Neodiprion lecontei: one gene and its partner. The main gene of each other region encodes a partner of the protein of the gene in region 2 in a complex. Links are inferred from orthologs where the notes say so. Each region holds a gene or a part of one and is shown on either strand. Other genes may lie near its edges.

Region 1 (7,913 bases), on a different chromosome or scaffold from region 2:
TAATTGTATGCCTACATGCCACCTTGCCCGGCGTCTCTAAAAAACACAAACAACTGGCGCCATCTCACGGGGGGCTTTGGAACACGGAATGAAATCTGCCCGCCGTCAATTGTTTGTTTGTTTTTGGTACGTGGGGGAGTTTATTCATTAGCACGAGCGAGCAGATAGCAGAAATCTGATAACCATCACACCGTGGAATGAAAACCAAAGTACGAGAAGAAGAACAATAAGAATAACAGTAGACGGCAGCGGGAAGAACAAATGCGAGAACTCACATTTATATATACGTATGCTTATCATTTCTTTATATCTTCACTAGAGTTCAAATGTACATTTGTTATCGGCGATCCGTGGTCAGGGTCCGCGTAATGTGTGTCTCTCTCTCACGGACACACGTTTGAATTACATCCAGTAAGCGTGTTTCTCGCACTAACTCTGCTTTGGCTTATCCTCGGACGATTTTGCCTGCGAAAAACGATACAACGATGCATTTATACCTTCATTATTGGTAGATTTATAGGAATGTCGGTGCTTCGATTTACCTCTTTAGATTCCGACAAGTATTCCGACGCTTTGCTGGCTAGGTTGCCGATGGTCTCTCCTGCCACTGCTCCCGTCTCTACTACCTGATCAAAGAGCCCGTTAAGCGACGTCGGTATCTTCAGCTTAGGAAGTTCTGGAAATTGGATCTCCAACTGCTCATCTCCCGGTTTAACTGAAAATTTCTTCCTTTTCTTTCTGTATTTTGAACATTTCCGATATAGCTTATGACTCCTGGGATTTGGAATTTTGGGGTAGGATAGGGACCTGGTGGTTTCATTGTGTCGCTAATGTTGCTTTTTACTTTTGCATGTTTCTTTGTGTGCTAGTAACGTTGCAACTTTCTGGCTCCTTATCCAGGGGATCTTCCGTATCTAGTTTATCGAGGAAGTCAAGAGGATAGGAATTGTCAAAGATATTCGGAAAACTTTTAAACTGTATGCCGGTATATACTCACTTCCGTAAGCAAAGTTGTAACCTATGTTTGCGTAATGTTTGGCAAGATCAACCCCTTCTGCGGCTTGTTTTGGGTAACAGAGCGAGGCCACGAGCAGACCACCCGTGGTTGTGTACAACGTTTTCTTGAACGCACCGCCTCGGAGGCTCAGTATTAGACCAGAAAGAGCTCCGATCCCGATCGCTCCCATTCGTGGCAAAACATTGCTCTCCTCCTTCAGGTACTCGTAGAGGGCTGTAGAAAAGACGAATTGTTATGAAGATGAGAGTTTTGTTACACGACCGTTTCTGTTCATGTGTAATAATTTTTTAAACCTTGCAGTAAAAGTCAACGGAGAATACAATAGTTTGCTGAAAAATTAAATTTTGATTTTGCACAGCATTTTGCAATATTTTATAACTAGACACCTCCGCTATCCATGTATTTATTTTTGAAACCAAATTTATATTCGCGTCTAACTGTTTTACAAATTCTTGAAAGGTAATTGTGACTTGATTGTGGAAAACATTGCGTAAGTGAGAAATCTATCCTTTGAAATGGGTGTTTTGAACTCTCTCTACAGGATGGCTGAGTTCTCCATACGACAGGATTTCAAAAGCAATTTCTCGTTATTCTTTACAGCGAAGTCAGTTACCAAATCCAGATAATAATCATAGCAGACATATTTGATGTAAATCATTTTAAAATAGATATTCCCAACTAAATCTTATTTCAAGATTTTTCCATGATCCTCTGTTGCAAAGTGGAATTCTCAACTAGAATTACCTTAATTTTCAGCAAACATCTTATAGCTACATAAATTTGTTTACTGAATGTATATTTAGAAATATTTGAGAAGATGGGGGAAAAATTGTCATAAGAATCGGATCGAAGGAAAAATTGTTTCGTGCAATTCATCATGGGTCGAACCTGGTATGCTCCTTGCATCTTTGAGCAACATTTTTTTATACTGTACATGTCGAACTTTGTCTGGATCCATTATAAAAGTCCTTATTAACCAGACACGACGGGTATCATATGGAAAATTTTTTCTTCGTCATTTATTTTCTTACAAATTGGAGTAGCTGGAATATGAACAAATAACGTTTGATTGCGAGTCTAGCAGATGCTAAGGACCTACGGCAGTGATGTTCTGCTTCAAATTTGAATTTCCGTTGTTTACAGTGATACGAATAAGTACATCGACTTACATTCACTGTGTGCAACTCCTGTATCTATTTTGTCTGTAATAGATTCGGTAATATGTTGATACTGCGTGAAAACACCAGACAAGGACTTCCTGATCGTGCCAAAACCCTGTTCCAAGTACGACGGCTCACAATTGACAGGTGTGGGGCTGAAACAATGCATGTCTAGTTTAGAACATCATGACTCTCGATAATGTAAGCAACCTAAGAAAAATTATGTCTAATACTGCTGATACTTGTGCTGAAATAATTCACACATTTTATGGCTGAACCAATGTTATGAAGTGCGGGATAAAGGGGGACGCGATCGAAAGGATGCCTTACTGGGTTCGTTTGCTCTGAGGGACGTCGAGTCAGATATCCAAGCATCAATTGCAGGCTTGACTGAAAACAATTCTGAGCGTTGATCAATTACTTGCTTTACCATTGGTCCACTTTTGACGGTGAGCCAAGCGTATATATCGGCAACTCGGAGGGGCGAATCAACTTCTTTTCGTCTAGTTCGCAAGGCGTTGGACAATTTGACGGAGGAGGGGCCGGCTTGACGATCGGTGTCGCTGCGCACAGCCCACAAGGCATCAGGAATTTCTTGAAAAACTTAAGTAACAACAATTGTTAAAAATATGAATTTAAAATAGAATTGGAAATCGGAGTACTGATAAAATTGATATCAAAATTTGAAATTAAATGTCTTTCTACTCCGTCACGCAATATTTACCTTGATTCCGTGCATGTTGGTCGACGGATTATTTCTCTTCTACTTATACCGAAAGGTCGGATAACCTATCAAGAGTGTCACTGGTCAGTCAGCTGTACCAGCAGACATTCACGTGACGTAATCGACGAAGAATATTCTTGACCGGAACGAGCGGAACGGGCGGAACGCGGACCCGATTGTTTAAATTTAATGTCCGCGTGATGTTGGGAAAAAATTTCACAACAAGCTGCGATTCGGATATGCACGATACCAACGGTTGTGAAATGCGAATATGCGAGGTAACGAGAATTTGAAACGGATGTTTTTCGATGCTATTAACGCTATGTGTGTATAATTAACGGTAAAAACATTTTCCCTCTTCGCAGTGTCAATCACGCATGCAAGTGAAGATGGAAAAAACAATTGACCTTGTTTTTACAACTCTCGACTTGTTCGTTATTCCTTTTCTTTTACGTCGTCTCTTTCCGTCAATTATTAGCCACATGTTGTGCGCTTGTACAACTATTGCATACCCGTTATACATCGTCCTGCATCTTGAAGAATTATCTTATCTTTTCCTCAATACCGACATTGAACTCATGGACGATCCATGCGCACAGCATCGCTGAAATGGGTCTTAAAAATGACGTGATAAAGATACGTACTTTAACGCCGGTTCGGCCAAATTCGACCAAAGTTCCTGGTTGGTAGTCGTCGCAACGATCGACCGGCTCTCGACAAGTTATGTCTTTACCAAAAATATTGCCAACCGTTTTTTCCAAAATACTGTGCACAATGTCCTTCATCCTCCGTTATATTGGTTCTTAATCTTTCGCTCACGTCTTACATATCAAACTAATAATTTACCATTTGGATTTGTTGCGTTTTCAGGTTGAATTTCGGGTTGGGTCGTTCAAATATGGCGGGTTCGTCGCAGTCCGTTTCCAGCTTTCCGCTCGGCTCGCGGTCCACCGTCCGCGTTCCTATCGAGCAAAACGTCGGAACGCAGCGTAAACGCCATAAACGCACGTATGTCGGAGTTTGACGGCGCATTTGACTTTTCTGGTCGAATAAACACATTGGGATACTACAAAAGTTGATTACCAAATTCACGGTACGAGGATAAAGCGATGGCACTATCGACCAGTCCAATTTCACCGTCGGTTGACCTCAGCTCTTATCGTGACCAGCACTTTAAGGTTCGTACTTCGATCACTCTACGCTAACATAACCTGTTCAATAACATTCGACGTGTTAAAAAACATTATTACTCCTCCTTTAGGGATCTCGAGTTGAACAGGACCGATTATTAAGGAACTCGACGACTCTGTACATTGGTAATCTCTCGTTTTACACTACAGAGGAGCAGATATATGAACTATTTTCAAAGTGCGGAGACATTAGACGAATTATTATGGGACTGGATAAGTACAAAAAAACTCCATGTGGATTTTGCTTCGTCGAGTACTATTTGAGACCCGATGCGGAAAACTGTATGCGATATGTTAATGGGACCCGTTTAGACGATAGAATTATACGTACGGATTGGGACGCTGGGTTCATCGAAGGCAGACAGTATGGTCGAGGAAAGACAGGTGGTCAGGTAAGATACTTTATTCTATACCTGAATATCGGGGAACTTGAATACGGGGCACCGACTAATTCTGCCAGTCAGGAAACTTATCTAATAGTTTGAATTGATTTTAAGATTCAAGTTGATACTTTAACATGTTGCGTGAGTTACTATAATGATTGATAATTTTCATCTAATTACCAGGTCAGAGACGAGTACAGATCCGACTTTGACGGTGGCAGAGGTGGCTATGGAAAAATAATCCAACAAAAAGTAACACCCGTTGTGGATGGGGCATTTGGTCGATGAAGTACACACTTATGGATGACAATCACATTTGATCATGATCGGTGATGTGCGTATTGTTTAATTCTATTCATTGACAACTACAGGCATATTGTGATGAATATACAAAGATTTGGGGTGACAAAGAACTTTCGTGTGCGAAAGAGTTATTCTATCTGGTTCTCCTTATTTCATTTATTTATATTTGTGTAAGTCATTAAATGATTCATGTTTCGTGACAAATGGAAGAAAGGTTTTCACACCCACAATATGCACGTAAAAAAACTTTATTCCTACGGATATTATATTTAATATGTATAACGTACACGCGCGATACAACTTTGGTTGACAGTTGAAGATTTTTTTTTTTATTAATTATTATATTTTGTACAGAAAAGACACACGTATATTCGCACATTATACATTACAATTATATATGCATATCGTATTGTTCTGGATATAAGCCGAGGTTTTTTTGTCGTTGACAGCAGCCGCCAAAATCGTCGTCGTCTAATACGCGGACCAGTCTTCTGTGCGTGTAATCAAGAAAAACATCCTGAAATACTGTCGCAGAATTCGGGGACCGCTTATACTCTGAACAATACTGTATATATATATATGTATGTACACGGCAGGACTCGAGAGGGATTCTTTGGTTATAATTCGTTCTTTTCGCGTCTTTTAGTATCAGAAATGAAGCTTCGGCGATATAACTTGTCCAATCATAATATTAATGTTATTAATGGTAGGCACCGGTTAAAATAATAATAATAATAGTAATGCTAAAATTAATAACAATAATCTTATCGTTTCTTATTGACGGGTAGCCCCGTAACATCAACAATTTTCAAAGTACCGCGTGAATATATGTGATGTATACGATTGTGCTTGTATTCCGTTTCAAAGAATACCGCACAGTCTCCGCGGTGCCGGTTTTTTCAGCACGGATCTAATCCCCTCTACAAATACCTCTTCCAGTCCCTCTGACTTTATTGCCGAACATTCGACGTATTTGTAGGCCTTGATTCTCTTCTTCATCTTCTTACATTCTGCCGGTGTTATTACATCCGTGTCCTCCCTGTTCCTCAGGTCACCCTTAGTGCCTATCCAAGATATATGATAAATAGTTTTAAGTGGAATCTAAAGTCTGATCAGTTGTTGGCAAACACACATCACTCGTAGCAGCATAATGTGGAATATTGAATACTTGAAATATTTATTACACACTTACCGACAAGGACAATTGGCACGTTGGGACAGTGGTGCTTGATTTCCGGATACCATTTGCTGGCTACGTTTTCGTACGAACTGCGCGCACTTATCGAAAAGCACAGGAGAAAACAATCCGTCTAAAATGAATATCGTAGTTTGGTTCGCAAAAAATATAATACGGGATTTTTGTAGTGTTAAAAATTTGATAGAATTTTCAACTACAGACGTAATTGAAATTGTAAACCTACGTTCGGGTACGACAAAGGCCTAAGCCTTTCGTAATCCTCTTGACCGGCTGTGTCCCAAAGCACCATATTGAACTCCTGTCCATCTACGCATATGTTGTCTGCATAGTTGTCGAACCTGGACGAAAGAAATGTTGAAAGTAACTGAAAGTATAGCTGATCTCTTTTCTGTTTACACTAAAAATATGTGATCACAGCATTGCGGTAAGGAATTGCAGATGTTCCTAGAATTGAAGCCCTTTCTTTCGCAAATCTTGACATGAACATGAATTACATATCAAATTATTTATTTTTTAAAACTTTCATTGCAATGAATTCGAATCAGAAAGAAATAGAAAACTTTTAATTTTAAATTAAGGGTTGAAATTCACCAGAGAGTGTCTTTTAGTCTATGAAAAATTGTATAAAGTTTGGTAATAGAACAGATTCGATTTGATTTGAAATTAGGGAATTAGTATGGCCGATTTATTTGATGTTTCTTGATGCTTACACTGTGGGAACGTATTCGGTGGGGAATTTCTTGGACGTGTATGTGATAAGCATGCACGTCTTACCGACCATGCCGTCACCAACCGCGGTGACCTTTATCGGTCGTATCCGAGACACCATACTCGCGTCCTCTGGAACAAAGAAGAGAATTTCCGGTGTTAAAATTTACGCGCGTGCACCCGTAAACTCGTTAATTATCGTTCATTCGCTGATACGGAGTGAAGACTTGACACTCTGATCGTAAAACTTTATTCTCGCACTTGACGAACTCTTTAAAGAACGGTCGGAAATCGATTACCGAGTTAAATTCATCCTGACTACAACTGCGTCGCACGTTCATTTTATCGACAGTTTTTTGGGCCGGTTGACAATTTAACCCTTTAACGGCCAAGCCTTTTTCCCCTTTAAAAAAAAAACATATCTTCCAACCGCTTGAAATTTTTCTCAATCAAAATATTTGAAAAATTACACCTTTTAAAAATACGATTTTTCTGTTTTCATCCTTAACCAAAAAGTTTTTCAAATGAAATTATTCAGTGAAAATTTTCTTTACCGTGCGTTACAATTTTTCAAATCATTTTACGGCTTCTAAATTCAAGTTGAAGATAATATTAAAAAAAATAGCTGTTTCGTCATTGTCGCAAATATGCTGCAACGGCAGTCAAAGGGTTAAAAAAGAAAAACCTATGCCTTACGACCTGCAAGTTGGAACAGTTGTAGCTCCTTGTTCCTCCAGCTCGGAATTCACGCTCGGCGCGCCTTCGCAAAACCAATTCATTAGACTCGCTCGTGTCACTCATTGTCAATCTACGCATCCTGTCCTCGCACGCGCTCCGGTAGTCGCCATAGTCTCATAGTCTCTCTTATCTCCGGCTCGTTTATTGTACTTAATTCCTACGTATTACCATCCCTCGGAACGCGCGGCCCTCGGAGCAAAGCACTTGTGCTCGCCTGTGTGGAATCGCAAATATTACACCTACGGAGTCGGTGCGTTCAAGTATCTCCTGCAGTGCATACGATGCATACGATGCATATTGGCAGACGGACAATCGTGATAAGCGGAAAAACGCGATGGTGACCACTTTGAGTAGGTATTTGTTTTTCAGACGAGAAAGAAGTTATCGCACGATACCGCCGCGTTTCTCCCCGTGCGATGCAGTTTGTGTCCTCCTCTCTACCACGGTGCAAATTATTTATACGATTTTCTACGAATTTTTAGGAAAATTGG
Region 2 (11,033 bases):
CGTGCTCGCAGGCGTTTTTCACATGGTCTCAAGCGCAAGCCGATGGCTCTTGTGAAGAAACTCCGTAAAGCGAAGAAGGAGGCTCCTCCAAATGAGAAGCCAGAAATTGTCAAGACTCACCTTCGCAACATGATCATTGTCCCAGAAATGGTTGGATCCATTGTTGGCGTCTATAACGGAAAGACTTTCAACCAGGTGGAAATTAAGCCTGAGATGATCGGACACTACCTTGGGGAGTTTTCTGTCACCTACAAGCCTGTTAAGCATGGTAGGCCTGGTATTGGTGCTACTCACTCCTCCAGGTTTATTCCTCTCAAGTAAATTGCTTGTATGTAATAAATAAACGGCGTAAAATTCCATTTTCTGATCCATCGTTTTATAATGATTCACTCCATTACCAATCAGATATTTCCTCTCTAATTACTTGAAAAATCATATCCAGCAGATTTCTAGAGAATTGACTGATTTCGAGTCATGTGCACAAGTTTTCTTTCCCAACATTTGTCTGCTACGCGTGGCTCGGAGTTTGCCCTTTCAGTAGAGATTCTCTGTATCTGTGCTCTATTTTAAAATACAGTACGTACTCAATCTTTATGAATGCATGAATAATTAATTACCACTTGACAAGAAATATCAAAAGCAAGTCAATTCGGGTATAAAAATAGGAAGCTTTATTCGTCACGTACACAACAATTCTATATGATAATAATTTCATAATAATTAGAACTTGATGATGCTGTCTTTGAAAAAACGGGAGAACAATGTTACACGGTCTAATATACACACACATTTTATAACATTAATAGTTTTGTTGCAGAGTAAACATTTGTTGAGAATATTAGTTTGAGGTAAAATATTAAATCACAGAAGCTTTATTATTGCTACATGAACTTGGATTGTTGTCTGACACACTTGGACTATTAAATGCAACATTGTCATCTGATTTACCTTTAAAGAAAAATTTCCTATCTGAGGCACATGTACCGTCATCAGCCAATATTACGGAATTCTGACTAGTTTTCTCAAATATTTCTTGTTTGACTTGAAGTTCCGTATCGACATCTTCTTGTTTCACCTTATCCATCTCTATGATTTCAGTGTTTCTCATCACAGACTTACCGTCCAATATATGGTCTACATTTTCTGTCTTTAACATTCTATCATCGGTTGCAGGTATTTTTTCTTTGCTCAACTTTTTCGGAAATTCTTCCTTTTCTCGTTCATACATGAAGGTCTTTCGCTTTCGCTGCGTTGGCTTACAAACTTTTTTGTACAATATTTTCATCTCTTTGACACGTGCTGTCGGTATTGTCCAATCCATCTGATTGGATGTCATGTCTGTGTTTCTTGTTGGATCTAATTTGCTGTCGTACTCTGGTAATTCCAGACCTAATTTCTTCATTACCATCACTATGATGTCATCGACCATACCGTTTATCACCAAATCTGCTTTTTTATCCTAAAATAATGATCGTCCGTCAAAACATTTAGTTGATAATTGTATTAAGAGACAAGACTGAGGTTACGGTTGAAATAAAATTAATGAAGTCTACTTGAAAAGCATCCTTACATGCTTCGTTGGCTGCAGATTGCAAATAACAAGTCTGCCACCATACTTCTTTGTATAAAGAGGCAAGTTCCCACTTGGTATGATTTGTAAAGTTGTTCCCAGACAAATGCTCAAATCGGCAACACTGTAATTGAAAAATTGTTGACAATTTGATTTATATTTTTCTTCTGAAGTGCCAGAAATCAAAACGTGGTTAAAAAAGTTATAACAATGGAATACAAACTGACCTGGCATGAAGGTCTGACAGTGCTAAGTCATTGTCAGGTAAGTTATGCTCCCAGTCAAGTATCGTGTCATGCATTCGACCTCGACAAGGTCGTCCTCCAATTTGTTCAGATCGACATACCGTTCCCAAACATTTTTTCCCAACACTCTTTGTAGCAAGGTTGCGAATAAATTGTCTGTGAACCAAATCAGGAAGTGCGTTATGATCTCGCGATAATTTAGGGTACGAATATTGTTTTACACTCGAATCACACCTCTAATTAAGCATATCAATTCTTACAGTGTAAACAAACTTGTACCTTCCACACTTGTCACACTGTTCAGTGAACATATTTCCATGCAACTCTGCAAGCTTCTGCCGCTGAACTCCAGATCGCAGGTGCAGTCCGTCAATATTTTGGCTCACAATGAATTTGACCTTATCTGTGGAGCAACAAAATCCGATTAGGATCAGATTCAACATTTCATATTGTTTTCCTAATTTGTTAATTAATTTTCCACAGTCTTATGCTAGGTACACCCTTACTGCAATCAATCAACTTCTTTAAAGCCATGTGAGTCTTGGTTGGCTTTGCTTCGTCAAATGATATATTCATTTCAGGTTTCAACCCTTTCTCCTCCAAAGTCCAGACACCCTTCGGTCCTCTATGGATGGAAACATATAACATTAAGGTTGTTACGTTTGAGAAGTGACGTATTTTTTGCATTCATTTGAACTGGAAGTATATTATTAGGCGATTTTGGTACACAGGATTATCCAAGTTTGAAAAGACAGTAACATAAAAATATTGTGCTGAATTGATACATCAATTCATGTTCTAAATATAACAATAACTTGACATATAGAATAATCGTCTCATGTATACAATGTGCGTAATATCAATAAATTTTGCAGTAGACGACATGTCCATTTAATTCAGAAAATTAGCAACAAATCTGAATTACCCTATCAATCTCTCTGTGAATTATTCGAAATTAATTTGAAAAAGCACAAATCGGATATATCTAATAGAATAAAACGAATGAATTAGAAACGAAGTTGGAGGAAAAAATTCGAGATGATCTAAATTCAAAAATTCATGGCACAAATATTCCCGCTTGTCATAGCTGTCACGGTATCGCAAAACTCTTTTATGAATCTATACTGTACGAAGAGAGTGTTATTTTCGATGAAATTATCCGCAAATCATCTCGTGATTGCAATCTACTAGAGCTGACGTTGGCACGTAATGTCATGACGCCGAAGTACCCTAATTACAATTACTAACGAGCGTCCTCGAATGAATGAATTACCTAAAATCGGGAATACCGGCAGCGGTACTGATTCCCGCGCCGGTGTGAACGACAACATGACGTGCCCCGTCTATCCAATCAGCCAACAAATCGCATTTGATACGAAGAGTCTCGGCGCTGTCGAATTTCTAAAAAGGAGGAGAGTGGCATTGGGTTATTGATTCGCCTGGAGGATCAGCAATTACTGCCCAATGGCGATATCGCCAAGCCAACTTCGGACCGTACATAACGGCGAAAATTACCTCCTCGAGGCCAAGCTGACCCTTGTTCTCGTACGGCGATAAACCATCGGCGTAGCTGCATGACATCGTCCCTCTCCCCTCACGCCCTTCCGCCGAGCGGCTAACAATGGCCGCAGAGCAACAACCCTTGTTGCCAAATAATAATCCGCCCCCTACCCCCGTCGATGATGACGTAATTATTATCAAAAATCCACGTTTAAATGCTCGGGTTCGTGCGTTTCCGCCGACCTTCGGTGATGAAATTTAATATAAACAATTTTAAAATTATGATTATGATTTGCCGGGAACTTTACGATTACTGATGAGACACCGGTAAACGACAAAATGTCGATGAAAATTTTCAGAAATAAATCTAACTCAGGTTTATTCACTATTTGGAATCCACGGGACACCACCAAATATCCACAACGAACACCAGAAAAGATCATAAAACTACTCTTTGCGCAAAGCAGGTTGCGCGTTGGAGCGACGCTCGGCGTCGTCCAACGTCGTCGCGGACTCTTCTGCCACCTAAAAGTCCGTCGTGGAACTAATTTGAACGAACGTTCGACGCTCCGATTGCAACTTTTTGACACCCAGCATCAAATGACTTACAACGGATTGTCGTTGGCGAAGATCCATTTTATACAGGAGAGATCGTATTCTCTGGATTAAGTTACGTTTTAGAAATTTCGGGGCTTCAGTTTATCCAAGGTTAATAACGGACCGTGGCAACCTGTTCCGTGTTCTACGTTTGTTGTTGGTTCCGTTGTAATCCTGCACCGAAACTATGAGTCGCAGGAGAGCACATGACGATGACGATGGATACGGTATGATTACTGATAGAAAACATGCTCTCATCTCACCATATGTTAGAGTATCGCACCGCTCGCAGCCATTTCAAACTACCCCGATTTATATTGAATTTTTAAGTATCAACGCTAGTCGAATTCATTGAACCTAACCTTATTTAATCTAACCTTATTTTTGGCCCAATCATTGTACCTGATGCTTATTAGTCGCATATGTATGTACATACGTATTTGTGAGAAATTCTTCTTACTCCACATTTTTGTTTTCAATTAATCTAATGACATTGAAGACGAATCTCAGAGTAGATGGTCGTATGCTATGATGAACTTCAATTTGCAGACCGCGTCTATAAGAAGCGGAGGAGGGTATCAGAGAATCAGGAAATTGAAGATCGCCTGGAATCGCTTATATTGCGAGTGGGTGAAAAGTCAACTTCGTCATTAGAAAGTAATTTGGAAGGGTTAGCGTCTGTGCTAGAAGCGGATCTCGGTGTGTTTCGTACTAAGATTCTCCGAATATTGACTGATTGCGCTATAAAAATGCCAGAGAAATGTACGATCTACACGACGCTGGTGGGGCTGCTGAATGCAAAGAATTTCAACTTTGGTGGTGAATTTGTTGACTATATGGTGAAAAATTTTAAAGATTCTTTAAAAAGTTGCAAATGGAACGCTGCTAGATATTCGCTCCGGTTTCTTGCTGACTTAGTCAACTGTCACGTTTTATCTTGCGGGTCGCTTATGCAGCTCTTTGATAATATGTTAGACACGGCAAATGAGGACAGCGTACCTCAAGTTAGACGAGACTGGTACGTTTTTGCTGTTCTCTCAACCCTGCCGTGGGTTGGTCGAGAGTTATATGAAAAGAAAGAGCAAGAACTGGATCACCTTATGGTCACCATTGAAGTATTTTTGAACAAACGAAGTAAGAAACATCAACCTGCTCTAAAAGTATGGTCCAGTGACACACCTCACCCTCAGGAAGAATATTTGGACTGTCTCTGGGCTCAAGTACGAAAATTGAGGCAGGATAATTGGGCGGAAAAACACATTCCTCGACCATATCTTGCTTTCGACTCTATTTTATGTGAAGCTCTACAACACAATCTTCCAACGCTTCTGCCTCCACCACACCATGAATCTTACACGTACCCAATACCAACTGTTGTATTTCGCATGTTTGACTATACTGACTGTCCAGCGGAAGGGCCACTGCTGCCTGGCAGTCATGCTATAGAGAGATTTCTTATCGAAGAACATCTTCGGCAAATTATTGATAATCACTTTTTTGAAAGAAAAGATTGGTAAGTTTCATCTTCTGTTATTCTCGTTTTCTTAATTACTTCTTTTTTACTTACATTGTAATCATTTTCGATTTTTGCTGGTAATACTTTGTTATATGATTTCACTTCAAAACCAGTAATACCTATTTTCAATGAAGCTATTTTTATTCTGATTTACAGCGCGGCGCAATTATTGAACTTTCCATACAAAGCAAAAATTCCACTTGATTATTCTATTGTGGAAGTAATGTTTGGAGAACTCTTCAGATTACCATCTCCAAAACATTTGGAAATCTGCTATGGATCGATTTTGATTGAACTTTGTAAGTTGCAACCATCGACTATGCCACAGGTAATATAAATGATAAATTCCCAATGAGTTTAACTGGTAACGATAATAAATTTCGCTGTGTTATAGTATCTTATACACCCTGCACTGTATTATAAAGGTTTTAGCACAGGCTACCGAAATTTTATTCCGTCGCATCGACAGCATGGCTGCGGCAGCATTCGATAGATTTGTTTGGTGGTTTGCCTATCATCTGAGCAACTTCCAATTTCGTTGGTCATGGGAAGATTGGGACTCATGCCTCCAGCGTGACCCTGAACATCCTCGGCCTAAATTCATAAAAGAAGTGCTGCTGAAAGCATTGAGGTAAGAAATGATTTTTCCTCATTTCTACAAGATGAAAGTTCCAGCTTATCCTTTAAACAAAATATACAAACCATTTTTTGTTGGATCAAAGATTGAAAAATCAGAGATATTTTGATAATTACCATGCATCAATGTATCAAAAAATACTTTTTGTTACAGACTATCCTACTTCCAAAGAATTCGCGATATGATGCCAGAAACTTACGCCGAACTGATCCCTTTGCCTCCAGAACCAATTTACAAGTACACTTCCGAAGGCGCAAGTCAGTATTTTTACACTCTGATATTTGATATCTCATCACAGTATCATTTCATTATCATAAATTTTACATTATATTAGAATGTCATCTTTTCTTGAATAAATCTTTCTAGCAATCGACTTTGCTCAATTTTTTTCAGGCACACTTCCTGGAACTTCTGCAGCCCATGAACTAGTTGTTTCAATACGCCGCAAATGCACCCCTGAAGAAGTATTGACCGTTTTGAATACCTTACCAGGTCAAGGAGACAATGAGGAATCAAACACATTCAATCCGTTGAAAATTGACGTATTTGTACAGACGTTGCTTAACCTGGGGTCAAAGAGCTTCAGCCACAGTTTCGCCGCTATTGGGAAGTTTCATTATGTATTCAAGGTAAGAATAGTTTTCTCTTATAAAATCATTATATTGAACTATATCATTTCATACCTATGTTAAATAGTTTGACAAAATTTTGTGGCATTGAACCTAACTGCAGACTTTTGCTTGTTTTTCATAGGCTCTGGCCGAATCAGAGGAGGCACAAATATGCATTCTAAGAAATATGCATGCCCTATGGAAAAATCATTATCAAATGATGGTTGTACTCTCAGACAAATTCTTAAAGACTGGAATAATTGAATGCAGTGCTATAGCCAATTGGATATTTTCTCGGGAAATGACATCTGAATTTACTAAGTGAGTCAATGTAATTTTGAACCAATTCTACAAACTTTTATCTTAGAATTTAATTAATAATCGAAAATAGAATATGACTCTTAGAACTTGGTACTAATTTTAACCAAGCTAAATATCGCAACCCCATTATTTTCAGACTCTACATCTGGGAAATTCTTCATTTGACGATCCGTAAAAAGAATAAACATGTCATTAAACTGAACACAGAAGTGACGGAGGCCAGAGAAAAGTTACGAAGGGCGGAAAGTAGATCTGGATCGTCTTCGGAAGATGAGGACAATACTAAAGATAAGTCGGGAGAAAGACCATCTGAAGACGTTGTAGAGCGAATGGAAGAAAAATTGGAAGCTGCTCAAGCAGATCAAAAGAATTTATTCCTCATCATTTTTCAGGTATAATTATTAATATTACATACTTGCAATCTCGGTTGAACATGTTATGTAAGCTGTGAGATGGCACTTATTCAAAACACTTGATAATTGCTTTTTTATTCTTTTACAGCGTTTTATTATGATTCTTTCCGAACATCTTGTTAGATGTGATACAGATGGCATCGATTACAATACTCACTGGTACAGATGGACTATTGGAAGGTTGCAGCAGGTATTTTTGGCTGTAAGTAAAAAAAAAAAAACCCTCAACGCTTCTTTAGTGGCTTTCTTGGACTACCAAACTGATCGCTTAGAAGAGTGTAATGCATTATAGAAAGCTGTTAATCAGTTCGCAAGTGTTATGATTAATTCACTACAAGTTAAAAGAGAAATTTTACTTCTTTTTTTAGCATCACGAACAAGTACAAAAATACTCGTCAACACTGGAAACACTTTTGTTCACGCCAGATCTGGATCCACACATTCTTGACGTATTTCACCAGTTTGTTTCGTTACGTGCATAAGATGTTCAAATCACTGAACGTTTCGTCTTCAAGGGATTGGTATGAAGTATGATATATACATATATTATACATATACAGTTATATTATTTTATTGATAACTCTTAGGACAATTTCAGTCGTGAATATTAGGTAAATAGAGTTTCCGAGTATATTTAAATGACATTTGATTATCCGTATTTATGTTAATGTACATCAAGTCTAAATTGTTGTTGGAATTTTTTCAATCGGTAGCAGAATATTCAGTTCTACCTATAGTGTTGTATGCTAATGAAAGTCAGCAGTTTGCTGGCAATGTACATGGGTGTATATACAGAAACCTATACACCTGAATAATATTGAATCAAAATTATCTATTACCGACTCATGCAAGCAAATGTAGAGGAAGAGAAAGACTTTATTTTAATCCAATTAAAAATTGAATGCTTGAACAGTTTACCTGTTTCAAATTGCATCACCTGGGCGATAATATGACAGAATTTCACTGCAGATATGAATGGACCGTATGTAACGATATTATCATAGGGATTCACAAGTGTCATAATGTTACAGTTTGGAGATATACTCACGAGTATGTATGTATATCAATCTACTGAGTTTTCTGACGTGTCATGTGAGTCAAAATTTCTTCAACGTCATCCTTTGACCCCAAAAATATTGGGCTCCTTTGATGAATAGTAGATGGTATAATGTCCAGTATGCTCATTTCACCATTTGTCGCAAGGCCACCAGCTTGCGTTAAAATGTATGCCATGGGTATGCACTCATAGAGGAGACGAAGCTAGCAACAAAATCAAAATCATACATTTTATTTACACATTGTGTAATGCTGTTTTTCACATTTGTTTGGGAAAAGTAGTTTAGTTATTCAGTGAACTTCTAACCTAAGATAACTTCTACACCAGCTGTTCAGTATCAGTTTAATATTAGACCAAATTGTCAATGGATATTGCTTCGGTAAAACATGCCTCAAAACTAATCATAATCCCAGAATCGCTGTAGCCATATTTTGATTGTGCATTCTTGCGAATTTCGTGTTACCAAACATGTACCACGATAATTGTATGCACTGGTCAGAAAGTGCGTGTATCAGTTAGGCGAAATTTATAGAATTGTGCACAGGTAGGCTCTGTTATTTAAATTGAATAATACCTTTCCCTTTGGGCTCTCTGTTGTTGCTGGGTACATAAATATCCCACCGTATTTGAGTGTCCTGTGTACATCAGCTACCATTGAACCCACGTATCTGGCATTGTACGGCTTGCCAGTTGCTGGGTATTTTTTTGAATGGACATAATCCTTTATCGCCGATGACCACTTACTTTCGTGAGCTTCATTTATGCTGCAGCATAAAAACAATAAATTATTGTTCGCCATTTAAACTAACTCGATTTCACGTGATACGTTAAGCCCATCCATAAAAGTACTTGTATAAAGTAGGTATCATTTTATTTACGTATCAATTCGATATATAATTTACTTGTTGCAAGGTACACTTTAGGTTCAATTCAAATAAAATTTGATTTATGTCAGGTTTATGAGTATTGACTTTGTTGTTCTGTTCTTGTGCGCATATTTTAGAATACCTGTAAATTTTTCCTCTTGACGGTATTCTCATGTCCTGATCTGTTAATATAAATTCGCCAATAGCTGGATCGTACATAAAGCCATTGACACCCTGACCAATTGAGAGTACCAACATAGTTGCCGAACCATACAACGCATATCCCGCTGCTACCAGATTACGACCTGGCTGTAGAGCATCAGCAACTGTCGGTGCTCCGGTTGAGCCTTCTTGTTTTTTGTAGATTCCAAATATTGAGCCAATGGATATTAGGCAATCAATGTTTGACGAGCCGTCCAAAGGATCAAAGCAGACGATGTATTTCCCCTGTTTGCCAACTTCTACTTCGATCACAGTTTCATTTTCTTCACTGATTAGGAGACAGGTCGTAAATGAAGATGTCAGCATGTTTATAAAGAGTTCATTGCTGAGGACATCTAATTTTTTGACTTCTTCACCCTGAACGTTCGTGCACCCAGCAATACCGTACCTTTGAACCAAGTAAATTACATGTACATATGTACAACTAGCTACTTCAATGTGTAAAATTATCATATCGTTATTTAATATGCATATTAGACTATTGAAGATATTATTATTTTGCCTGTACCAAGGTTTAAACATTAGTTTTTAAAAAAAAATAAAATAAACACATCTTCCTGTCATGTAAAAATTTTCAGGTCAAGTGCAAGAAATGCTTCACACCGTGTGGGTATTTTCCATTTGAAATAAATGCATGAGTTCTTCGCGTCTTTAGTAATGAAAACTATATTGAAATGAAATGAAAACACTTTCTAACAGATAAATCGTTCGGGTGTGATCGTAAATGAACTTTTGTATACAAATTTTTATCCCATAATTTATTCACATATTGTCAATCACAAGTTCATAAAAATTCAGCATTTTGTGATTGTTTTTGAACAATTCATTCATCAAAGAGGATTTTATATTTTCTGAACTTTGAATAAACGAAGCTGTTCTATTTTCATATGTGTATAAACCGGAAAAACCTCAACGGATGCCTCAAATCGATAATCACGTCGTACTTTTTCTTTTTCATTGAAAGAGATAATTACGAATGTTACATGAAATTGAAATTAATCATTTTAATTTTGGATATAAAAAAAATTCATTCAAAGCTTTTATTTCTTTCAGCTACAGCATAGTTCAATTGGCTATAGCTATGTTCACTTCTGCTTTTCTTACATGTACACATATTCTATTTTGAGGTGTAATCTATGTGTAACTGATAAGTGATAAACTAATTTGACCCCAGGCACATTAAGCGGGGATTTCAACTACGCACGTTATATTAGTGTTATCAACATTCCCTGACTCATCTTATTTTTATAACTTTGAAGTAAGAGAAAGCGGAATCTTTGCCGTTGAAAAAACCAATATTTCGGTTCTATTGGTCTACAGTACGTAACTGTGACTCAGGCAGCTCGGTGAATTAACCGGATTTCGTAGCATTTACTAACGATAGGAATCGAATTAGGAATGTGTACATACATACACATCACATACCGCGTTTTTAATGAACGGTTTTATCTGTCTTGAGTAAACTTTGGTCGTTCGAA

Evidence for each region. The genes of interacting proteins can lie anywhere in the genome.
Region 1: nuclear cap-binding protein subunit 1 (region 2) and nuclear cap-binding protein subunit 2 share a complex: the UniProt entries of both Caenorhabditis elegans proteins name them as parts of the nuclear cap-binding complex. The link is inferred for Neodiprion lecontei from reciprocal best matches to the Caenorhabditis elegans genes ncbp-1 and ncbp-2.

Annotation. Positions count from the first base shown.
Region 1 is NC_060261.1:34,857,839-34,865,751, forward strand, and holds nuclear cap-binding protein subunit 2, read left to right. Parts: upstream 1-3,857; 5' UTR 3,858-4,011; coding exon 4,012-4,080; intron 4,081-4,163; coding exon 4,164-4,484; intron 4,485-4,658; coding exon 4,659-4,763; 3' UTR 4,764-4,809; exon of another isoform or gene 4,810-4,888; intron 4,889-5,084; exon of another isoform or gene 5,085-5,227; 3' UTR 5,228-5,531; downstream 5,532-7,913. Other genes in the region: MICOS complex subunit MIC27, read right to left, coding at 430-465, 543-738, 845-914, 998-1,231, 2,188-2,333, 2,609-2,781, 2,903-2,917; ras-like GTP-binding protein RhoL, read right to left, coding at 5,640-5,842, 5,971-6,088, 6,200-6,314, 6,687-6,816. UniProt on the Caenorhabditis elegans protein: Component of the cap-binding complex (CBC), which binds co-transcriptionally to the 5' cap of pre-mRNAs and is involved in various processes such as pre-mRNA splicing and RNA-mediated gene silencing (RNAi).
Region 2 is NC_060264.1:26,559,453-26,570,485, forward strand, and holds nuclear cap-binding protein subunit 1, read left to right. Parts: upstream 1-3,861; 5' UTR 3,862-4,099; coding exon 4,100-4,139; intron 4,140-4,461; coding exon 4,462-5,425; intron 5,426-5,584; coding exon 5,585-5,756; intron 5,757-5,853; coding exon 5,854-6,059; intron 6,060-6,218; coding exon 6,219-6,322; intron 6,323-6,458; coding exon 6,459-6,694; intron 6,695-6,818; coding exon 6,819-6,997; intron 6,998-7,133; coding exon 7,134-7,389; exon of another isoform or gene 7,390-7,498; coding exon 7,499-7,612; intron 7,613-7,778; coding exon 7,779-7,892; 3' UTR 7,893-8,478; downstream 8,479-11,033. Other genes in the region: 40S ribosomal protein S15, read left to right, coding at 1-321; NAD-dependent protein deacetylase Sirt6, read right to left, coding at 857-1,459, 1,571-1,694, 1,798-1,971, 2,095-2,218, 2,322-2,440, 3,089-3,216, 3,331-3,396; fructose-1,6-bisphosphatase 1, read right to left, coding at 8,479-8,670, 9,042-9,231, 9,476-9,943. UniProt on the Caenorhabditis elegans protein: Component of the cap-binding complex (CBC), which binds cotranscriptionally to the 5'-cap of pre-mRNAs and is involved in various processes such as pre-mRNA splicing and RNA-mediated gene silencing (RNAi).